2 linked regions of the Diceros bicornis minor genome follow. The protein of the gene in region 1 purifies or fractionates together with the protein of each later gene. This does not show direct contact. Links are inferred from orthologs where the notes say so. Each region holds a gene or a part of one and is shown on either strand. Other genes may lie near its edges. The genes, in order: USP4 and DCP1B.

Region 1 (12,754 bases):
GGAGGTGGCCTGGGGCTACCCATCTCCTCAGGGCCCACAGGGCCTGGCATATGACATGCATCAGCAAATGTCTGTCAATTAATATAAAGTGAAAAACTTTCCACTCAAACAGAGCCAGGGCTCTTTGAGGATCGTTTGTAGACTCCAAATCTGACTCCTGGAATGAATAATAGCAACCTATACATCTGGATATATCTGGGTATACCCAGGCCATCTGTAACCTCCTTAAAGCCTACATTTCTTCCCTAAAAGCCCTTTGCTCCCTTACTGGAACACTCATCATTCAGTCCTGTGCCATGTGCTCTGCTGCGTGCCAGGAATACAGACCTCAGGAAGGCAGAAAGACAATATATAATTACCAAAAGCATGTTTGTTTAGTTCTATGAGGTAGTACAGGGTACTTTGATAATATATGAGGGCCTGGCCCAGTAGGGAGGATCATGCTTGCCTCCTGGAGGAAGTGACAGTGAAGCTGAAGAGAGGTCAAGAAGCAGTTACCCAAGAACAAACTGGTGGAGGGTGGACAGGCAGAGGTTACAGTGTGTGAGGGCCTGAAGTGGGAAGGTGGCATCATTGACAGTTGCACAACACAAGCAGGAGCAGATTTGGGGAGAAGGGGATGTGTTCAGATTCAGATGTGGTGCATGAGACATCCAGATGAAGATATCTAGAGCAGGTGGTTACAACAGGCTCAGGAAAAGAGTATGGGTTGGAGACAAAGGTCTAGCCAAAGGGGCAGTAAGTAACCATTGGAGAGAATAAGGTCACCTGGGGAGAGTGGCAAGAAAAAGATCAGGGGACCTAGACCTGAAGCCTATGGATTCATAATTATTCTGGGTCAGGTGGCAGAGAGGCACAGTTGGAAGGAACAAGGACGGCGTCAAGGAGCTGAGGGAAGGGACATTCATAAAGAATAGTTAGCTGGGACAAGTGCTTGTGGATTAAGTGTTCCCCAGCAAGTGCAGTTTCAGGGGGGCAGCTGGAGCTGAAGCCAGATAGCCAAGTGCCAGTGATGTACCAGGTCCCGTTCTAGGAGCTAAACATATAGTGCCCAAGAATCACCTGGGTGCTTGTTCAAACCTATGTTCCACGGCCCACCTCCAGAGATGCTTATTTGGAAAGTCTGGGGACTTAGAGTTCTACTCAGTGACCTACAGCTGAACCATGAAGAGAGACTTTCTGCTCCAACTCTCCTGTAAAAGGTCAGTGTGGCCCAGGCCACGCTCTGGTTAGACTCCAGCATAGGAACCCAGGGCTTTCCAAACTGACTCCAACCTCTTTCCCCCAGGCTGCCTAGTGACTCAGCCCTCCTCACCCACTCTTAGTTTATGCCTTGGGCTGCCAGGGAAGGGAACTTCTGAGCTCCCAATGTGGCTGACCCTGGCTGGTGAATACTCCTTCTCAGACTTCAAGCTGCCTGCCTCCCTTAACTGAAAGTCCTTTCCAACTCTCTCTTCTTCAGGAAGACTCAGAATAAAGCCAGTTAACACTTCATCTTCCTCCCCAAGAAACTGGGTTTCTTCCCCCAACACATACAAACACACACAGAAACACACTCCCACACATACACATTCTTTATCATTCAACCATGTAACTGCTACTGGCTCTGACCTGCACCCACCCCACCCCATAGTGAATCAGCAGCTCAAATGAACAAGTAAAAGTGAAAGAATCCTAGTGAGCCTCCCTGAGGCCCTAGCCTTTGGAAGAAGTGGCTGCAGGACACTGCTTGATCTGGGAGCAGGCAGCAGCATTTCAGCTACAGGCCTTCTGAGAAAGGGATGGGCCCTACTGTTATTCAGCTAGGTCCAGATGCTTCCATTTTAGCAGTTCTTCCAGAAATGCTGGTTTTTTCCTTTTGTTTTTGTTTTTTTCAAACATTAAATCTGATAAAACTATGTATACCTATATCAAATAACCACGATGTACACTTTAAATATTTTATAATTTTATTTGCCAATTATACCTCAGTAAAGCTGAAAAAAAAATCTGATAAAATTTGGTCAGGCTCTTCTTGCGCAATTAGCCCTTTATCAGATGACTTCCCTATTCTGTCTCAATGTAGTTCCACAAACAACATTTAAAGCAACTTTATTTTCAGAGAAGCATTCCTGGCCCGATCACCCTAATAAATCTTATAAGTTTTTTTTTTAAAGATTTTATTTATTTTTCCCCTCAAAGCCCCAGTAGATAGTTGTATGTCATAGCTGCACATCCTTCTAGTTGCTGTATGTGGGACGCGGCCTCAGCATGGCCGGAGAAGCGGTGTGTTGGTGCGCGCCCAGGATCCGAACCCGGGCCGCCAGTGGCGGAGCACGCGCACTTAACCGCTAAGCCACGGGGCCGGCCCAAATCTTATAAGTTTTAACTTTTGTATAATACTGAATAAAAAATACTGGCTAAAGATTTCCCCAAGAGAACACAGCATGGATTTATAAAGAATGGGCAGGCTGCTGGCGACCCAGGTTCAGATCCCGGGCAAGCACTGACACACTGCTTGTCTGGCTATGCTGAGGCCACGTCCCACATACAGCAGCTGGAAGGATGTGCAGCTATGACATACAACTATCTACTGGGGCTTTGGGGGAAAAAAATAAAATAATAATAAAAAAAGAATGGGCAGGGATCCCTGTCAGAGAACTCTGAATTTGGCAGGTTTTTGTTATTACAATCACCAAGCAGGCTGGAAGAGCATGCTTTCACACACTAACATAAATGTGGCTGGCATTAAAATAAAGCCCAGCTCGAGCTGGTCAACAAGTTACTGGACACATGCCTCGCATCAGGCACTACTGGATCAGGAGCTGAGAGCACAAATGAGAGAAGTCTCACGGGCCCTGGCCCTGGGGGTAACAGAGAAGGAAACTCTGAGCCCTGATATCCTTCAGCTTTGACCTACCCAAGAACTCAATTCTAGACTTGTCAGGTGAGAAAATAAAAACAAAAATCACCATCTAGGTAGGCCACTTGCTGGTGGGTATTCTGTTAGTTGCATCCAGAAGCATTGAGATTGACATGACATGATGGTGATGTGCTGGGCAGGGGCCCAGCAGCCTTTCCATCATTCATCCTGCAGACAGAAACTCCACCCAGGTCTAGTGTAAGCTGTGGCCAGCAAGGCCAGGGCAAGAGACCACAAAACAGGCCCAATTTATCCAAATGCCTAGAGTCTGAGCAGTATCCAGGGGCATGTGCAGACCACTGTGGGTGGTGTCCTACAGTCTTGCAGACCACCTGGCTCCACAGGGAGGCAAGTGGAGGGGATCGGAGTCTCCCTGCAAAGGAAACACCTGTTAACCCAGCCTCCTCTGTCTCTAGCATGTGACTATGTCTGTGTATGTGTAGGTGAATCTAAAGAAGCCCTGGTTCCCTGAGCATTCCTTTGCAGACTCATCATGCATTCCCAGAGGCAAGCCAAAGGGAATGTTAAGCAAAGCATGCCTTTGCTCCCTACACCAGTTGCTTAAGTTTCCTTCCCAGCAAAGGTCTGCAGCATCACCTTCCATGTTCCTATAGCACTTTTATCACACAACATAGAACACTGTAATTACATGTGAAAACATCTTCCCCAACCACATTGGCTGTGAACCCCTGGAGGGTAGGGACTATGAGCATATAACAGGTTATTAGTCAAATGAAAAAATGACTAGTATCTGGATAGTTCTTTCATTCATTCATCCAAGAAATGCTTACTGAGAATCTGCTGTGTGCAAAGGGCGAACATGCATAATTAACATCTAAATACTTGTTTATGGTTAAGACATTGATGGTAACAGAATTAGAGGAGGAAGAGAAGACACTAGCCACACCTGGGCCCAGGGTGCCATGCTCTCCCTGCCCAGTCAGGGCTGGCCACCAACAGTGGCATAACCAGAATGGAATCTGTCCAACGGTATGAGTTTCCAACATAGGAAAGTTGATTCCACTTCCACTCTGTGAGATTGGTTCAGGTTTTTGCCTTTGTCACCTTCCTCAGTAACCTAATCCTTATATAACAGAGGTTATAATGTCACGGATGAGACGTTTAATTCTTTCAAAATGTACTTCTAGAGCTTTTTACTTTTTCACAGTCTCCTGGGCAGGTTAACGAAGCACAGGCAAGAACAAAACAAAAATATTTCTCTCCTGATGCCACCTTTAATCAAAAGGTGCCCAATATTTGTGACTCCTGTCACATGTGCTCTGTTTCTGCTGGCCAAATGTGGACCAAGGGTGACTTGGGAGGGCCAACTCCAGTCAGGTGTAGAGCAAGCCATAGTACCAGTCAAGGCAAGAATTTTATAACTTGGAACAAAGTAAAGCTTGAAGTTCACAGATCCAGACATTACAAACCCTCAATTAGATCATCACAGTCCAAGATCAAGCAGTATGTGATCAATCAGCCAGGCCTGTTCCCTCTATATCCCTTCCTGCGTTCTTTCCTGTTCTTGTGGCCCAAAATCCCATGGCAACGGGTGGGTTGTTCAGTTCTGGGGTTTGGTGATGGGGCAAAGTGAGTGCTCTACTAGGCCTGCACCTCTTCCTAGGGTAAATGGCCAGAGATCACAGCCCTGGGGCCAGGGTGTCTCCAGAGCTGAATCATTGAATTCATTTCCTGCCAAATCCGCAGGTCACTCCCATAATAGTGGGAACACAGAAAGATGTTCGTTGTTTCTAGTTCTCAATTTTTAACTCACTAAATGAATGAAACTCACTAAAAAAGTTTTAAAACTGGAAATAATGCTGATCTTCCGACTATAAAGTTTCACTTTATTCCTTGCGTTTTAACTAGTGGCACTTTGTAATCTTAATACAAATTTTTAGGAGCTACTCATAATTGGTGCACTATTTTTATAGCTATTTAACAGCACTGAAGAGATCCAGGCTTAAAAAGATTTTCCAAAGTTTTCTTTTTTTTTCATTTTTATAATTAGGTTTTGTCCCTCTTTCTAGTGGTGCTGAGTACTTGTCGTACTTCTACTTCCTTAAGACTCTGACCCATGCCATAAATGGTAGGGAGAAACTGCTAAAAAAAAAAAAAAAAGAAAAGGGAAGCAGATACCCTCTAATGTAGGTTCTGAAGTAATGTCGGTAACCCAACTTTCTTTTTCCATAAATAACAGGACTAACGGTAGTGTTTCTCATTTGACAACATTTTTAACAATTTCAAAGAGCTTTCACAGAAGGGCACTTGTCAGGGTTGGCTCCCCAGATGTAGAATTATCACATGATTATAACTTATCTGCAGGGGATTAATTGCTACATGGTCATTCAAGGCAGTTTCAACTCCAAACTCATTATCCCTTGCTACCTACCCAACTGCCAACAGGTGTCTGTTACCAGATGGTGTGTGATGGATGTCCCAGGGTGTGCAAATTAATCGAAATTAGCCAAAACCCAACATAAAAATTGTAAATCTATTCAAATGACCTACCACACCTTCACCAGGCCAGCTCTCCGTCCTCCATCCCTAACACTGAACACGGTCTCCTGTTTCTTCTCTCCTCCCTCATAGCTACCTCTCCAGTGAAATGCTACTAATAGGTCTCTGGGCTATACCACTGTGGGTGTAAAGCACCCTCAGCCATTTTGTCTCTGCTCCAAAATTTCCTACAATATCTGTGGGCCATTTAAGGCAAGACATGTGGCCCCTCCAGCCTCCTTTCTATCTTTAGATCTCAGGCTTTTTCAGTAGTCTGATCCCAGCTCAACTGGCCTAATGCTCACTCTTTGATTCTGCCCCGCCTGTTTCAGAAATTGTCTCCGACCCCTCTAGTCTCTCCTCCTGTAACATGCACCATCATTTCTACACTTTCTTCAAGACCACACTCAAATGCTACTCAAGTCAAAGGCTCCCTTTCACAGCTCTGGACCTAGTCTTTGGTTCATATCCTTTTTTTGTGTGTGTGAGGAAGATCAGACCTATGCTAACATCTGCCAATCATCTTCTTTTTTTGCTGAGGAAGACTGGCCCTGGGCTAACATCCCTGCTCATCTTCCTCCACTTTATAGGGGACGACCCCTCTAGTCTCTCCTCCTGTAACATGCACCATCATTTCTACACTTTCTTCAAGACCACACTCAAATGCTACTCAAGTCAAAGGCTCCATTTCACAGCTCTGGACCTAGTCTTTGGTTCATATCCTTTTTTTGTGTGTGTGAGGAAGATCAGACCTATGCTAACATCTGCCAATCATCTTCTTTTTTTGCTGAGGAAGACTGGCCCTGGGCTAACATCCCTGCTCATCTTCCTCCACTTTATAGGGGATGCCACCACCGCCACAGCATGGCTTGCCAAGCGGTGCGTCGGTGCGGGCTAACATCCCTGCTCATCTTCCTCCACTTTATAGGGGACGCCACCACCGCCACAGCATGGCTTGCCAAGCGGTGCGTCGGTGCGCGCCCGGGATCCGAACCGGGAAACCGCGGGCCACCGCAGCAGAGAGCCAGCACTTAACCGCTTGCGCCACCGGGCCGGCCCCTCAAGGGTTCATATCCCTTAACGGCACTTACCACACACTGCTTGGCACTGGGGTTATTTGCGGAAGATTTCTTCTCCTCTATTAGACTGTATAAGTGCAGGTATTAGGTCTTATTTTTCTCTGAGGGCCGGAACTGCTAGGCAAGTGAACGGAGACTGGCGTAGACCAGCTGCTTGGCATCCTCCTTGCTCTGGGCTTACTTACCCGTCCAGGAGGAGGGCTGTGTTTTTTATATGCAGGGTCAAGTAGAAAACATACAGTGTTCAGGACATTGTACCTTGTTGCGGCAACAAATTAAGAAGCAGCCTGGGCACCTAATGTGGAGAACACACCTGGACCTCTCCTTCCCCCGTTGCTATGGACCCTCTGCGGCTGCCTGTCTCCCTGACAAGGCAAGTAGCTAGCTCACTGTGGACGGCTTGTGGAATTCTGCCGTGGGCAAGGTGATTCTGGCGTCCAGAGTGTTTGGAACGATTGTTAACGACTAGACCACACCGTCGAGTCCCGGTCCCAAGGCGCTGGTGCACCAGGCACTCCCCGAAATCCCTGTAGGGCCTCCAGGACAGGAACCTCGATCCTACTTTTGTGCAGTTAAGGACTCGCCTAAGGTCTCTGCTGAAAGCGGAATGGCAGGAATGACTACAAGAAAATATAGTTCCAGGGCTTTTCACACCGGTTGCTGCGCTTATTTAAGAACAGAATAACCCCGCAGGCCAGGACTGGATACCCGAGGGTCGAGGGGCACCACACTCCCGCCCCAAGGTGAGGCCTGCAGAACGGAAGGAAGCGGCGGCTTCTTCCCCGGCGCCCGCCTCCTCTTCCGGTTCCCTCCCTGCTCCACCACGTACCGGCAGAATAGGCGCGGCGCGCAAACGGCGGCAAGAAAAGGCAAAGCCAAGCAAGCGCTCAAGGCCGCGGAGCGGGGTGCCCTTTGGCGCGCGCACGCGCTTGCGTGCGTGCGTAGGTGGGAGCGGCCCACAGCACGCCGTGCGCTAGGCGGATGTCCGGGCCGGCTGGGCCGGGGCAGCGGACGAGATGGCGGAAGGCGGAGGCTGCGGTGAGCGACCGGATGCGGAGACCCAGAAATCCGAGCTCGGGGCCTTGATGAGGACCACTCTCCAACGAGGGGCGCAGTGGTGAGTGCCAGGCCCCCCTTTCGCCCGGCCAGGGCCAGGGACCGGGGCTCTGGCGCTCAGGCTAAGCCCCTCTTTCTCGGCTTGGGTAGGGGCCGGCTGGAGGCGATGTTAGTGACCCTGAGAGAGTGACGTGACCCCCGCCTCTCAGGAGAAGGACCCCGGGGTCACCTCTGGGAAAGCGTGGGCGGAGCTGAGGGTCGTCCCGGCCCATACCGAGCCCCAGGGCGCGGACCCAGCGGGGGCAAGGGCTGCAGGTTGAACAGAAGGGGAGTGCTCACGGGGACTTGCAGGATAGGAAGAGCCTTTTACCTACCAGGACTTGCCGCGTGACCTTGGGCAAAGGCATCAACACCTCATAGATCCCCGTTCCTTACTGTTAAAACCAGGGTAGCAATATTTGGCCCTCCGCCCTCAGTGGGTTGAGGCGAAGATCAGAAGTACATACTTTGTAACTTATAAACTGCCGAATAGATGTCAAGGTCAGAAGCTGAACAAATGTCTGAGAGCCCCAGGTTATTTGGTAGCAAATGTCAAAAATAATTGTGGCAGCAGCATTTCGAAGTGGGAAAGTAAGGTAGCCTACAGCCTAGATAAAAAAGATTAAAAATTTAGGGTTTAGAAGAGCAAGTCGGAGACCAGGTTTCTTAATAAATTGTTTAGTAGAAAGGACAGTATTTCCAGTAGTGAAGAGATTCCTGGTATTATTGTGTGGGAGTAGAAAACTGGGGGTTGGCTTTGCATTGAATGTGATTGAGCATCCCTCTTTAAGAAACTGTGGTGGTGTTGGTCATGGCTCTTATAATGACAGAGGAATTGAGCAGTGAAGAGAGACATTGGGGTTAAGAGTTGAGATACATTGAGCAGGGAAGAGAAACATTGAGATCAGGAGAAATTCGAATAGAGCTTTACAGTGTTCTTGAGCTAGCCGAACCGTGAAAGGCAGGGCAATCAGAGGTGCTTTTAGAAGTTATCCTGCATAGGAGTGATGTATGAAGGATACTCAGCAGAAGCAGAGGAAGTTTGGAATAGACTAAAATCACACACCAAAAGTGTTTGGAGTGTATTGTTCAAGGGGTTTGGAGGGAAAAGAGCATTCTAAAGATTTGGATGTGTTTATGAATCCTTGTGGCCTTTGGGAAGCTGCCTGATATCCTCTGAAGTTTGTTGGTTATAAAATTTGAAAGACTCACCAATATAGTTGTTGTCCTTTGTTCCCCCACAGAGTTTTCCCTTCTTCTTTTAAAGATTTATTTATTTATTTATTTATTTATTCCCCCCAAAGCCCCAGTAGATAGTTGTATGTCATAGCTGCACATCCTTCTAGTTGCTGTATGTGGGACGAGGCCTCAGCATGGCCGGAGAAGTGGTGCGTCGGTGCTCGCCCGGGATCCGAACCCGGGCCGTGAGCAGCGGAGCGCGTGCACTTAACCGCTAAACCACGGGGCCAGCCAAGGTTTCCCTTCTTCTATCTTAATTGTAAAACAGCATAGTGATACTTTTAAAATATAACCAGATCAACTTGATGCTTTTTGACAAGATAGACATACCTAGACAATATTGTGTATATATATGTGTGTGTGTGTGTGTATATGCACGTATATGTGTGTGTATGTATATATGTACATATATTTACATACATATACTCACACACATTTTTTATCTTGTTTGGTCCTCAAAGGAAAACTGAAGTGTGGGATGTTGTTATCCCATTTTCAGAAATAAAATTAGTTTAATGCTGTTCACATCAGGCAGAGCAGTGTAATCAAACTGTCTACCTGGACAAGGACCTCTGTAAAGATCATTAGGAAATTAACGACTTGACAATGTTATAAACCAATGTTACTGCCATAAAAAAAACAAAATTAAAAAAAATGAAATTAATGACTTGGTCATTAGCAAACAAGATTTTACCTATAGAAAGACTTCCTTTAAATAAGCATTTTGAAGCCAGTCATTGCCTTCCTTTCATTTATTCATTCTTTCAACAATCGTTTCATTTAATGGATGCCTGCCCTGGATCATGGCTCTCTGTGCCATGTGGTTCCTGGCCCTGCTCCTGCTTTGCCGAGTGTGTCTTTCAGTAGGTATTGCTTGTTCCCCAAGTGAAAAGACCATAAAAATATTAAGGGAGCAGCTGCAGAAACTTACAACCTCAGCTTTTCTGGAATAGTAAATTTTTGTCTGTCTCTAGGTATCTTGTTGACAGCCGGTGGTTCAAGCAGTGGAAGAAGTACGTGGGCTTTGACAGCTGGGATATGTACAATGTGGGTGAACACAACTTGTTTCCTGGCCCAATAGATAACTCCGGACTCTTTTCAGGTGTGGTATCCTATTGCTTTTCTAACTGAAATGTCCACCTGGGCAATGACCTGTGGTTGTGTTTATCTGTAACATGGACATTGTGAACCTGACTTTCCAACTGTGAGGGGATAGAAACAAGTGTCCTCGATTTGTGTCTATAGCAGAAGTCTTTGCAGACCCTCAGGGAGAAGTTAATTTTTTCCTAAATTAAAGGCTTCTAACAAGAGCATGCTTCTAGCATTTTAAATCTCTCTCTCTCTCTCTTTTTTTTGCAAATTAATTCTGCTAGAGATTTCAGATTTTAGATTAGTCTGTGGAATGAAAAGAAATAGGATATCATTTTGAAATTGCATCTGGAATCTGAAAGTTGGGAACCAGAATTTTCTGTGTTACCTTTGCAGTGTAACAAATTGTAGACCTGTCGACATTCATCAAGCGTTCCTGTGATGGCTATGTTTGTTATAGAAGTAGTGTGAGGAGAGGTGGAAGGTCAGTAGAGCTATGATTATAGTCAGCTCCCAATGGAGGAAGTGATTGAAAAACTCGTATGACGCACCTGAGTTTGACTTGCCCCTGTAAATGCAGAGATGATGATGAGCCTTTCCTAGGCTTTATTCTGCCTGTCTTTAGACTCCCTCGTAAGCAGGACAGAGGTGATCTGTTGCCTGTGCCCAAAATCAGGGCAGCAGGAAGGCAGACAATGCGTGAGACTTGATCCAAGTACCTAACACTAACCTGGGTGTTTTTTTGTTTTTTGGGTTTTTTTTTTTAATTTTATTTATTTATTTTTTCCCCCAAAGCCCCAGTAGATAGTTGTATGTCATAGCTGCACATCCTTCTAGTTGCTGTATGTGGGATGCAGCCTCAGCATGGCTGGAGAAGCGGTGCGTCGGTGCGTGCCCGGGATCCAAACCCAGGCCTCCAGCAGCGGAGCGTGCGCACTTAACCGCTAAGCCCCGGGGCCGACCCGAACCTGGGTGTTTTTGAAAATGAGCAACACTTCAGCTCAGACCTTGTTTTAGGGGAGATCTTTTAAATGACGCAATAAACAATGTCATATGCTTTGTTTATTGATGTAGGTCAGATGATGGCATTACACCATGGAGTTGTCCCAAGGGATCGTTGCATTATGTTTGTGCTTTGTCCTTTTCCCTTTTTTTTTTTGCTGCAAAGGAGAATTCTTGATTTTTAATAGTAATAGTGATGAGAATCCTAGAGCTGGAGGGGCCCTCTGCAGTAATTTTGCATGACCTTCAGCTAAGGGCAAGCATTCCTTCACTAGTCCCCCAATTTGATGTCACCTGGCTTTGTCTTGAAACATTTGCTGTGTGCTTGGGAAGTGAGAAGTACATTCCGTTCAGACCCTGAAACATTGACAGTAGAGGAATGACCTCTCTCTGGCGAATGAGTGTCACTCCCTTAATTCCCAGGCTCTCAGTCACTTGCCAGTCCCAGTCTGGCTGCCTTCCACCTAGGGTCATGAGGGTGGCCTGGAGGGGGCTCTTGAATGTGTGGGAAGAAGGGCCGGCCCTGTGGCTTAGCGGTTAAGTGTGCACGCTCTGCTGCTGGCGGCTGGGGTTCGGATCCCGGGCGCGCACCGACGCACTGCTTCTCCAGCCATGCTGAGGCCGTGTCCCACATACAGCAACTAGAAGGATGTGCAGCTGTGACATACAACTATCTACTGGGGCTTTGGGGGGGAGAAAAAAAAAGTGTGGGAAGGAGAAGTTAGAGCGTATCCTTGCTGATGTTGTCTGTAGAGCACCCCTTCTCTCATTTACACCTCTGTCCCTACTCTATATCACATGGAATCCCTACGCTTAGACCAAGCTGTGCACTCCTTTTCTCCCTTTATTTGCCTCTCTGTTGAAGAAATTTTCAAAACCCTTGTGTGATGTTTAGCATGATGCTCTTGGACTGTCCAGTTTTAAGTGAAAATAGTGAACTGCATTGAAAATTCTAGTTAAGTTTCCTGCATTTGCACTATAGTGTCATAAGAATGACATGTTGGGGAAAATTGTCACTGAGCCTCGGAGGGGGAAGACGCCTGTAGAACTGATGTTCTTGGAGTTGAGTATGCTGAAAGCTGTTTGTTTCTTTCCCACATTTGAAGGTTTCTGGTTGCTGTTTGGCACAGTACGGGTGGCTAGATCTGCATAGTGCTTAGTGTTAGAAATGAAGAAGGTGTTTCTTCCCAAGTAAGACAATAAGTGAATAACTTTTATGAGTTTTAATTTGTAAATCAGAGAAAAGTTTGGAGTTTAGATATCAGTTGTTTTTGGAAGCTCTTGTCTCAAGCAAACTGATAAATACTGCCCCTGCACCATCCTTCTGTTGCTGAACAGACAGGGTGTGGTCTGTCAGTGTTAAAAGTCATTCCAGAGCTGCTAGGGAAAGTGGTTGGCTCATCAATGAGAACGATCCATCTTTTTTCTTTAATTATGGTAAAATACACATAACGTGAAATTTAGCATCTTAACCATTTTTAAGTGTACGGTTAAGTAGTATTAAGTATGTTCACATTGTTGTGCAACCAATCTCCAGAACTTTTTCATCTTGCAAAACTGAAACTCCATACCCATTAAACAGATAACTCCCAATCTCCTTTTCCCTCAGCCCCTGGCAACCACCATTCTTCTTTCTGTCTCTGAATCTGACTACTCTAGATACCTCGTGTAAGTGGAATCATACAGTGTTTGTCTTTCTGTGGCTGGCTTATTTCTTTTAGCCTAATGTCCTCAGGTTTCATCCATGTTATGGCGTGTCAGAATTTCCTTCCTTTTAAAGGCTGCGTAATATTCCATTGTATGTATATACCACATTTTGTTTATCCATTCATTCGTCCCATCTTGGTAT
Region 2 (11,918 bases), on another chromosome or scaffold:
AAGCATCCTTCTAATTCAATCCCTCTATTCCACAGAGAAGTGAAGTGACTTGCCTAGAACTGTGGACTCTCTGCTCAAATCAAATAATCATAAGGCCATTCCTATATGACCTTAGTGCTACTATGATGAACCAGCTAGCACCGCACGCACTAGCTAATGTGAGAGGCAACTCAGATGAGCAGTTCTAAGGGGCAATCCACTAACAACACCCCACACCCTCACTCTGCCCCAGAACAAAACTCCTTTATGTGAAATAAGCCACATTAAATACCAACTTCCTCGATTATATGACACAGAGCTGCCTGTGTTTTCAGAGATAAGGCAGACGGTGTCTATGCAACTTGCATTGTCCCCTCCAGGGTGCACTCGTGAAACAGGGAGATTTGTCTTCTGCTGTCTCAACTCAGCCTTTTCCCCCATCTTGCTCTCCCTCTTAGTAATCAGGTGCTGATTACTTTGGCTGAGAGGCATGGGCATTAGCTACAGTCAGGTATTTGCATTTTAAGTTTATCATCTCTTCATGTGACATTAAAGGCACCTCCTCATGTCTTGGTGTGTTCTGGGCGTTGGCAAGCAACTGCAAAGATGTTGCTGTAGAGCTCCTTTAGGCCCACTGAGCCTTCACCAGACCCCTGACAATGACAGTAAAATGAACAGATTTTATAGGACTGACAGAAAGAGGCAGAGAGAGATCAAAAGAGAATGTGCATGGATGGTCTCCCATTCCAAAGACCTCTGATTACCCCGGCCCCTGTCCAGGTCAGATGAGCAGAGGATTAGTCGAGGCAGCTGCTGGGCCCAGATGGGAGAAGTCCTGACCCTTTTTATGAGCTCTAGCCAAGGCCCCCTAATAGGCCTCTTCTTTCCCACATCTGTCCCTTCTCTTTCTGCTCCAAGTCTGTCTGATGAGTGTTTCAAATCTTAACCCCTTTGCAATCTCATGGAACACAGAGCTATATCTCCTACATTATTTCTTCCTCTCTCGTTGAAGTTTCTGATAAATATGTTTTAGCTCATATTCTCTATCGTATAAGAATATTGGGAATGAACTGCCTTGGGAATTAATGTGTTCCTTGTCACTTACGCAGAACTCTGTTGAGATGATTTGAGCATTGGCTAGGTAATTGGACAAGAAGGATCCCCTCTGAGCTTCCATTAGAAATAATAATAATGATGATGATGATTATAATAATAATAATAGCTTTTTTCATTTGCAGAACATTTTACAGATTGCAAATCTTTTTCAGGTACGTTTTCTCACTTGATCTTATTTACCCCGTGAAATTGGTAGGGCAGATATTATGATCCCCAAGTTATGAGTGAGGTCACTCGTTGAATGTCACATAGATAAAAAGAGGGTTAAACTAGTTTCCCCTTCCAGGGGGTGCCCTTTCCACTGTGCTCTGCTGCTTAAAAAAGAAATGAACCATGCATTGAAAACAACTGATAACACACGGCTTCAAACTGTTTTCCTTCACTGGGAGAAAGAGGGCATTAATTTTTCACTTCTGTCATTCTTTAGCGTAAAATTCCTAGGAAAAAAGGGCAATTCATACAGGCAGCACAAGCAGAGCATCAGAGGCTGTTTAGGACATTTTAGGATCACAAACTATCAGGGGGCATCCTGGAAGCTCCTCTTTCCCCTCCATTCCAACACAGCCTACTCCAGCACAAGTGCAAAATTTAAAGCTTATTTACACGGTCAAGACAAGACCACTAATAAAGCAGACTGTGTATTTATGTTTCTGGATTATTATGCTATAAAAAGTCACTTTATATTTGTATACACGTGGCTACAAAACCACACATTTTTCAGTTATATCCCTATTTTCAAAAAATTTAAACATCCTATGTTCTTACAATTACCTTGATTAGATTAGGTGGTGCATTTTACCTTAGCCATTGCAATGGTATAAAAATCCCAGATCCAGACACTATTTTTTTTATCATACTACAAATTTGTTTTAAATTGTGGTATATACCTTTATAATAACAAGTGTTAGCACATATTTAATCTCATAATGACAATTATAAAATAATCATGAAACCCGAAGTCACCAATATTTGAGGCTTCTGAAAGCACAGTGGAAGTATGCCAGCACTGTGGAAGCCAATGGAAGTTGAAGTTATATGGCTTAAAAACGAATCTGCCTATTTTAAATGATCTTTTAGATATATAGAGCCTGCAACTTAGTATACTTGGGTAAGGGATGATGACCTGGCTCTGCAAACACAGATTATTCAAGTAAAAAGTAGGCAGAAGTCTGGCTTCATCCTAGAAGGACAGAACTTTAAAAATTTGGGAAAACAGAGCTAAAAAAAGAAAACTCTGTGAACCAGGGAGATGAACAACCTGGCAATTCTGAAGTCACTGCAACATTGTGTCTCTTTTTTTCTGAGCAGGATTTCTCACCTTCAAGGTTTTTTCCCTTTTCTTTCTTTCTTTTTTTTTTTTCTCTACAATGTGTAAAGTTAAAAAAAACCCTTTCCATTTTTTCCTATCTTCCTTAGACTGCAAACTCTGAAAAATCAGGACTTGCAATTGTATGCTCTTTTATCTTGACTTGGATTTTAGTATTCTCTGAATCATGAACTCAAAAAAAAGACATTTAACGAATAAATTTAACTCAGCGTTTAGTCCAATAGAATAAGCATTTACTACTAAAGCTCTACTGAGCACAAGGCATTGAAGTGCTAGGGAGACAAGTGGGGTGAAAAGCAAGTATATAAAAAAATAAAACATTATGAAACTTACTATTTCTCTCTTTTTGCTTATCTGTCAAGAAACTCAAAGCTAACTTTGTTGTCAATTGCAATAACTGTTCTCAGCCTAGATTTTCTCTTCTAATTACAGCGACTCATTTTTTGTCCTTTTTAGAAGTGGGAAAAATATATATAACAAACTAAATAATTAAATAAATGGCTATAATTTGAGTTAAAGTATGACAGGAAAAACAGCAAGGGGGCACTGAGAGGTCATGGGAAGGAAGGATTGTATGGAGAGGGAGGCAGGAGGTGAGTTTTCTGGGAAAAGGACATTCCAGGCTCAGGGGACAAATGGGCAAGGAACAGAGATGGGAATGTGTAAGATATTGGGAAGAAAACAGTTCAGATACAGGAAGGTAGAAACAGGACATGGGTCATTTTCTTCATTAGTTCCTAAAAACAAACAAACCCTTCTTTACTAAGAATCATATTGGTGTGTTCACATATGTGAATCTAGCAATAAGCAGGATAATAGTATGTTCATCTTATCATGCATGAGATCAGGGACTGGGGATGACATGATCCTGTAATCTCAGCACAGACATGACAAGCAACAATAAATGGTGAAGAATGAATGAATGAAGTTCATCCAGTGGCCTGTCAAGAAATGCTTTATGATTGTGGTCATATAGATCACTCAGGGTAGAGGGCATTTTTGCTCTATGAATATTTAAGATACAATAATGGCCCCTGTATTGCCTGTTTTCTCTATTGAGCTTAAAGCAATTTGGGGGCCAGGATTTATTCTTTACACCTTAAAGATGGAAAGATTAAAAATTAAGAGGAAAATGATCTTGTATAAGGCTCACGGAACTTAAGGGCAGAGCTGGGGAAAAGAAAAGAAATGTCTCATTCTATGTGCAAGGCAAATGCAAAGTAGAATCTGTGGGTTCATGCCGAATAATCAAAATTAGCAGAGCTAATCAAGTGAGCGAGTCAGACTCATTGTAAAGGAAAAACCTACAGTTTTTCCACCTGTGTAGGGAAAAACTCAGTTCTTCCCTATTATGAGTTTCTTCCCTGTGTGTCTCCTTTGCTATTCACACAGAACACTTCACTTCTGACACTTCTGGTCACCAAATGTCTGGAAGTTTTTCCCCACAACAAGCAATTCTCTGTGACACCAGCTGGGTGTCCTACAACTTAACTCAATTCTGATACTACCTACAGGAGACAGCATCAGATCCCACAGGTTAAGGGCTCAGTCCCACAGACTGCCTGCCCACCCCACCCCCCAACCCCCTTCAGACACCAGTCACAAGCCCAGGTTATCACCTGTGCTTCTGACTAACAGGCTACAGATCAGAGGTTGCAAAGACCCTCTCCTTGGGTTCCATTAATTTGCTAGAGCAGCTCATGGAACTCAGGGAAACACTTACACTTACTAGTTTATTAAAGGATATGATAAAGGATACAAATGAGCAGCCAAATGAAGAGATACATAGGGTGAGGTCTGGGAGCCTCCTGAGGACAGGAGCTTCTGTCCTTATGGAGTTTGGGGGCACCACCCTCTTGGTATGTGTATGTGTTCACCCACCTGGAAGCTCCCCAAACCCCCTACTATTGGGATTTTATGAAGGCTTCCTTACACAGACATGATCAATTATTAACTCAATTTCCAGCCCTTCTCCCCTCTCTGGAGGATGGGGGGATGGAACTGAAAATCCCAAGCTTCTAATCGTGGCTTGCTCTTTTGTTGACCAGCCCCCATCCAGTAGCCCACCCAGAGTTACCTCATTAGAACAAAAGACGCTCCTAGTGCTCTTATCATTAAGGAATTTACAAGGGTTTTAGGAGCCCTGTGTCAGAGATCAGGTCAGAGACAAATATTAGAACAAGAGATGCTCCTAGTGTTCCTATCACTTAGGAAATTACAAGGGGTTTAGGAGCTTTGTGCCAGGAACCAGGGACACAGACCAATACATACATATATATATGTGTGTGTATACATATATATATACACATTTCTATTATCTCACACTAGTTCATCACAAAATTCTCCTCGCCCATATGATAGATTAAGCTTGTTTTTAGTAGTATGTAATCAAGAGGAAAGAGAGTGCAGTAATACTAGAAACAAGCTAGTGAACTAACATGCAAATTTGTCTAGTCAGCTTTGTATGGTTGCTCAGTTGCTGTAGTCCTATGATTTTCAAACTGCAGGTCATAATCTATTAGATGGTCATGAAATCAATTAAGAAGTCACAATCAGTATTTTTTAAATGATATGTATGTATATACATATGTAAATATATGTGTATCTATCTATATCACTTAATATTGTTGTTTCATGAAACTTTTGTTTTAGTTAATATCAGATATGGATATATAATGTATGCTCTGGGCCAGACTGCAAGTGAGCTGCAGCCCCAATCTAAAAAAGTCGGAAAGCCATTGCTGTACTTTCCCCCACTGGGAAGTTAGGCTTGGCGTCATTGGGACTGAAGATCCAAAATGGAGCTGAACCAAGCATTTAAAAAAATTAAAGCTATCTGCAAAGATTATATTGCAATTTATTTAGGCAACTGCTTTGAGAGGCTACCTGTGCCATATCTATGATATTTCTATATCAAATATGGTAAGAGTTCATGAACGTGGGTATTTCTGCACAATTGTTCTAATATTCAATACAAAATAAATGATTTGGGTCAATGGTTCTCAACTTCTTAGTCTCAAGACCCCTTTACACTATTAAAGATTATTGAGGACTCCCTCAAAGAGCTTTTGTTTATGTGAGTTATATTTATCAATATTTACCATATTGCAAATTAAAACTGATAACTTGAAAGAATATTCATTCATTTAAAAAAACAATAATAAAGCAATTAAATGTAAATATAAATAACATTTTTATGTAAAATAATATTTTCTCCAAAACAAAAAAATTAGTGAGAAATTGGCATTAGTTTACATTTTTACAAATCACTTTAGTATCTGGCTTAATAGAAGACAACTAGATTCTCACAACTGTGTCTACTATAATCTATTGCTATATTTGTTTTGTTTGAAGTATATGAAGAAACTCTGGCCTCAACAGGTATGTAGTTGGAAAAGGGATGGGTATTTTAATAGTCTTTTCAGATAGTTGTGGATAGTCTTCTTTGATAATACATCAAAACCTGATAAGTTGTAGTTTCTCAAAGGTTAGTTGCAATGTGCTATCTGAAACCCTATCCATTAACTTTTCACACTCTGCTACCTTAAAATCCATTAGTCCTTGAATGAATCTTTGCCCATGCATGATTATGTAACATCAGACATTGGTCATTTGGAAAATATTGGGTCACTGAGTTAAGCAGATCTTTCAAATGTTGATACTTTTCATTATACAATTATTTTTTTAAATCACACTCATTAATATTACAACTGATCTCATCAGAAACGACTTTAAGTATTGAGAAGTTGTCAAGCTCATGGCAGTGGATATGTGTTTTCTAAACTTCTAATTCTCGCTTGAAATCTCAAAAAATTATCATTGGCAACAATAACTGTCCCTTGTTTTCTTGGAAGTAACCAGTACACGTTATTTTTGAAAAAATGTCTGTCAAACACCTGTCTAAATAACCATAGTGCGTCCATCTTCTTTCAAGGAAAAATAGTGTTCTGTGAATACAAAAATAAAAATACTAGTTCAGCTTGCAACTCAAGCACGAAAGGGTTTTCCTGGAGACAAATACGCCATTTAGGTATTCAGCACACATGTTTTATGCATACTTCCTGTTTTTTCACACAGAATTTTAAAAGTGTGCCAAAGTGTTGAACTTTAATAAAATTAATAATTTTTACTGCTTAAGTTACACTGGCCTCTGCCTTGATTCATGCTAAGACACCTGCGCTTTTATCCCACCATTGTTTTTGCATTATTGGTCCAAATGTCGACACAGCGAAAGAGTCAAATAAGTCTTAGTGTTGTCATGAAAATGGTTTTGAACTGGCAGACCCCCTGAAAGGGTCTCATGAACTCCCAGGGGTTTCGAGGACCACACTTTAAGAACCACTGGGTGTTAGCGCACACAGAAATCACAGTTCTCTCTCTTCAGTTATTAATGCTTGAGGCTTATTTATTATTATGGGTTTGATCACCGAGCGCCAAAGGAAAGACATACCAAGGCGTAGAACACATCCAAGAGATACATCTTGAGCTGCCACGAGCGTGCAGCTCAAAGGCTCACGTAGGAAGAACACAGCTCTTGGTAGGAAAAGAGAGGCCCACCTCCAGCCTCGGCTTTTGGTTGCCAGTGGCAACGATCGTGGGCGGGAGGGAGCGCGGCCATCGATTAGTACTGTCTTGCGTCCGTCGCGGCAGGAGAGGGCGGGGCACGGCTGCAGGAGGGAGCCGTCCCCGGGCTGTGGTCGCCGCGTGTTTTCGGTGGCGAGGCGGCTCGCTCGTTCTGCGCTCAATTGAGAGTGGCTTCCGAGCGCCCTGTGTTGCTGTCGGGGAGGGAGGGAAGATGGCGGCTGTGGCGGCGGGCGGCCTGGTGGGGAAGGGGCGCGACATCAGCTTGGCGGCCCTGCAGCGCCACGACCCCTATATCAACCGCATCGTGGACGTGGCCAGCCAGGTGGCTCTGTACACTTTCGGCCATCGGGCCAACGAGTGGGTGCGTGCGGACGCGACGGGGCCGCGCAGGCAGGGCCGGGCTGGGGACGGGGTCGTCCGACGCGGGGCTGGAGGCCCCGGTGAGGGAGGAGACGCCGACGACCTGGAGGTGGACGGAGGTGGACGGTGTGGCTCGCTGGCCTGAGGCCGAAGTTGCGGAAGCTGGTCCCCGGGGCCCCGAGGTTTGGGGGAGAGGGTGGCCGATGTGTGAAACCACCTGAAGTTGGGGACAGACTTAATTAAATATTTAAGACACCCCGCGTTGGGAGAGCAGACCGGTCGGGGCCGGGACCCTGAGAGCTGAAGGAGAGAGAGGACCCGATGCCGGGAGGCCGGAAGACTGCTGTGCTCCGAGGAAATAAAGCAGGGTTCTGCTGTAGAGAAACGGGGCTGTAGAGGAGGCGGGATGCGGGACGGCCCAAAGGAAAGTTAGTTCTGGTTCTGGAACATCAGTCTTAGATGGGACCTTAGAAGGAACTGACGCTCTTGGAAAGATTATAACACCGCAGCCCACCGAGACCAAAATAAGTTTGATATTTGAGAGCCAAGTTATTTTGGTGCTCTTCTTAAAGCAGAACGTCAATAAATAGCAATGGAATGAAATTGTTTTCCTCACAATTAGAATCGAGTAGGAGCGTAAGACACCTGACTCCTGTTGCAGGAATTACCACATGCGATTTTGTAACCCACCCACTTGAATGTAGAGATGTAGTTTTTTCTCTTTTCCTCATAGTGACTTTTACCCCAGATAATATTAATTCGTCTGTTATATAACCATCCATCCATCATCTTTAAATAAGTTACAAAACAGTATAAAGAACTGGGCATGGATGAATGGATTTCAGAATTTTTTAATGTGTTCTCCAAGACAGTAAGAAACATCAAAATTGAAGCAAGCAAAACATCCATATTGAACAAATTCATATATTTTTTAACACCTCCATTCATCTATATGGCGTACTTATCTTTTGTATAGATCTTCAGCAGTCTAATAAAAATTCACCTGAAAATCTTTAACAAAAAAAGATAAAGAAGTAGGTTCTAAAATAACAGAGAACAGAACATTTTTGCTCTAAGTTCTTAACTGAGGAAATTTACTGAAAAGGGACAAGGAATTTAGGTCTGCTCTCCTTGTAGCCAAGCAAAAAGGGAAAAGAGGGAGAGCTCTTTAATATTCATTGTTCTCTAACAGGAAGTATACCTCTTGATCAGGAAAGAGAGTATTTACCCCTAGTTTTCAGAGGAATTTGTCACCTTGGTCTTTATATGAACGACATTGAGCAATGTAGTGGACAATTTCTTCAATAGCAATTTAGGAAAAATACAAAGATATTCTACATGTAGCTATTATATTGCTCTATAGAACAATGCCCAAGGCATAGTGTTATAATTTTGTCAAGGTAATTCTGTACTAAATAAGGATCAGGAATGTGTAGTTCTGTAAACTGACTTGACACTAGGGTTAGAGTCTGGAGAATCCTGAGAAATTGTTAACATGTAGAGGAGAGCATTCCTCTTGAATAACAGTTGTTTCCTGTAGGCTTTTGACAGGATCTATCTGATAGATACCTGTTGAAATAGTTACAGAGGTTTATTAGATACCCAGTGAAGCCCTTCTCCTAAGCCTCATCATTTACAGGAGTTATGTTTTCCTGCTTCCTGGACTTGTTGCCTTCACATGGCATAATTCATGCAGTAAAAGGTCATTCTTTCAAAGTACTAATCTTCAAGGCTGTGGTAACCAGAAAAGAGAGAGAGACCTAGTTCAGCTGCAGAGTGGTTGCTGGGGGTAAACAGATTGTCACCACCGATTCCACATGCCATCACTCAGGGCCTCTGGAGAAGAGCCTTTTGAACGTAAACCTAATAAAAGTGTGAAGAACATTCTTGAGAATGAAAGAGAAAGTATTTGCAAGAAGGCAGATGGAATGTAAAGGAGGGGAATTCTTATTGCACTAAAAATAGATGAAGAATGACTTCAGGCATTCAGAGCAGGAGAAATTAGGAATGAAGGGTGGACAGAAAATGAGCTGCTTTAAGGAAGAATTAAGGACAATTATGTCACGACTGGAATAGGAATTTTAGAGCTAGACCTATTTCCCATTGCCAGGAAAGACCACTCTGCCAAAATACTTATGTGTCAATTAAAGAATATAACCCTGGTGGTATTTTCACCGCTCAGTCCTTAGAGCCGTGGTTCTTAACTGGAGTTGATTTTTCCTCCAGGCAACATGTGGCAGTATCTGGAGAAAGTTTTTGGTTGTCGCACTGAGAGGGAGCATGTTACTGGCACCTAGATGGTCGAGGCCAGGGATGCTGAATGTCCTACAATGTACAGGTCAGGCCTCTACGACAAAGATTTACCTAGCTCCAAATGTCAAAAATGCTGAGCTTGAGAAACCCTGCCGTAGAGTGACTAGTGTCCTGTTGTTTCTAGCTAGTAGTTTTCTAAGTTTTCTGTGTATCAGAATCACTTGGGGTTTTAAAAAGTGCAACCCACCAAATCAAAATCTCTGGATATGAGGTCCAGGCACGTGATGCTTGTTGAAAGCTTCCTGGGTGACTCACATGCTACATACATGACCGACAGAGACAGATTTTAAAAGGGTAAATGGAGACCTACTTTTCCATTATATTAACATAGAATAATCAGTAAGATATAAATTGCTTTGAGTTGTTTCAAGTGTCAGATTGTGTGCTGAGTCCCCATAATTTGCAAACTAGCGCTATTTTATATTCCACTTTATTTTAAATTTTGAACTAGTTAATTTTTTAGCACTTGTTCTATTTTATAATAGAGTATAATATTAAATCATTAAATTATACCTTTAAAATCTAAGCTAAAATCCCCCAGAACTGAGAACTAATCCTTTAACATAAAAGTCATTACTTGGAGGACCTAATAAAATCTTATTTAGCTAATTCCCACATCCCGAACCCTGGGCTTTGCCCAGAAATTAAAAATCTGGTTACCCTTGGATAACTGTGGAGGGACCAGGAAAATGCATGAATTTGAGCTGTTTCAGCCATAATAGACCAGAAATGTATGTTTCCAAAGTCCCTTTTATCCAGGTGTTGTAGAGAAAAATGTTTTTCATCAAAAGATCTGAGTGGTGTAGGCTGGTTATCTCTTTTCAGTGGAGAAAGTGAGACGTAGAATAATAAACTAGCCCAGTATGAGCTGGCAAGAACCCCACTTCAGGTCCAATACTGTAATCACTGAAACACAATTCCTTTCCATGAACAAACTCATGCTTTTTGTGTGTAATACTATATAAAAATCTCAGTTTTAAGAATTGATATGTGAGTTAAAGAATACTTAGGAAAGCATGCCTTTTACATTTCTGATTCTGGATTTTTCAAAACTAAAATGTGGCAGTCCTTTCTTTTTTTCTTAAAGGTGATTTCTATTACTACTTCATCAAGGAAGAAAGGAAACAAGTCAAAAACTGTTAGTTCTATGTGTGCTGATAGAAGTAAACATCCTGATTTGAATCTTTAAGGTGAAATAGTCCAAGTTTCAAATGCTGGAAGACAGAAAGGTGTTTTGGCTTTGTAGCAGGTGATCCTGACAGTGCATATAGGTGCTAAGACCTGGTTCCATCACCTGTATCTTGGCTTCAGTTTCCTATCAGTGTAATAGATAATACCAAATATTTAATTTTTACAAATTTGTTCTTAAAAGCTTTGTGGACTAGTATACACTTGCCCACTGTACCAGTTAGACTTAAGGGATGCCCACAAATTCTTAGACTGTTTGGGTAGCATTTATTGTACTGTAGTGGCCGTTTTCTCAATGATTGAGATTGTGGTGGTTTAAGTAATTCTTAGTGTTTAAAGTGCACCCAGGATATAGATTTCTCAACAGATAGGAATTGACTGTGTTTGTTTGCAAAGAAAGATAAGTAATAATGTTTCTGTATAGTTTTTTCATTTTGATTCAGGGTATTTTTCAAAGCACAGTGGCAAATGGGCCACATTTGAGAAATAAGGATAGTTTTCATAGTACATTGAAATGATTTATACAGACTTCGTAGTAAATCCAGTTTAAGGATGAACTCTAACTTTCTTAGCAATGTTTGTATATTAGAGAAAAGACTGGCTACAATTGTTTTAACTGTTGTAAATTCTTTATTTCTAATTACATATTCTATAATAATGAGGATTAAAAATCTTGGTACTAAGTAACTTACTCTTAATAGCTATTTGCTCTTAAAAAACAATGTTTGGGGGCTGGCCCCGTGGCTTAGCGGTTAAGTGCGCGCGCTCCGCTACTGCCGGCCCGGGTTTGGATCCCGGGCGTGTACCGACGCACCGCTTCTCCAGCCATGCTGAGGCTGCGTCCCAACACATACGGCAACTAGAAGGATGTGCAACTATGACATACATACAACTACCTACGGGGGCTTTGGGGGGAAAAGAAAGGAGGAGGATTGGCAATAGATGTTAACTCAGAGCCGGTCCTCCTCAGCAAAAAAGAGGAGGATTAGCACGGATGTTAGCTCAGGGCTGATCTTCCTCACAAAAAAAAAAAAAAAAAAAAACAATGTTT

What was found.
Region 2: the proteins of USP4 (region 1) and DCP1B purify together in Homo sapiens (co-immunoprecipitation; 3 studies listed by BioGRID and IntAct, with this or other methods). This does not show direct contact. The link is inferred for Diceros bicornis minor from reciprocal best matches to the Homo sapiens genes USP4 and DCP1B.

What each region holds. Positions count from the first base shown.
Region 1 is NC_080741.1:50,517,123-50,529,876, reverse strand, and holds the start of USP4 (ubiquitin carboxyl-terminal hydrolase 4), read left to right. Parts: upstream 1-7,334; 5' UTR 7,335-7,496; coding exon 7,497-7,597; intron 7,598-9,788; coding exon 9,789-9,916; intron 9,917-12,754.
Region 2 is NC_080756.1:60,624,231-60,636,148, reverse strand, and holds the start of DCP1B (mRNA-decapping enzyme 1B), read left to right. Parts: upstream 1-7,207; 5' UTR 7,208-7,217; coding exon 7,218-7,367; intron 7,368-7,401; exon of another isoform or gene 7,402-9,686; coding exon of another isoform or gene 9,687-9,704; intron 9,705-11,918. UniProt on the Homo sapiens protein: May play a role in the degradation of mRNAs, both in normal mRNA turnover and in nonsense-mediated mRNA decay. May remove the 7-methyl guanine cap structure from mRNA molecules, yielding a 5'-phosphorylated mRNA fragment and 7m-GDP.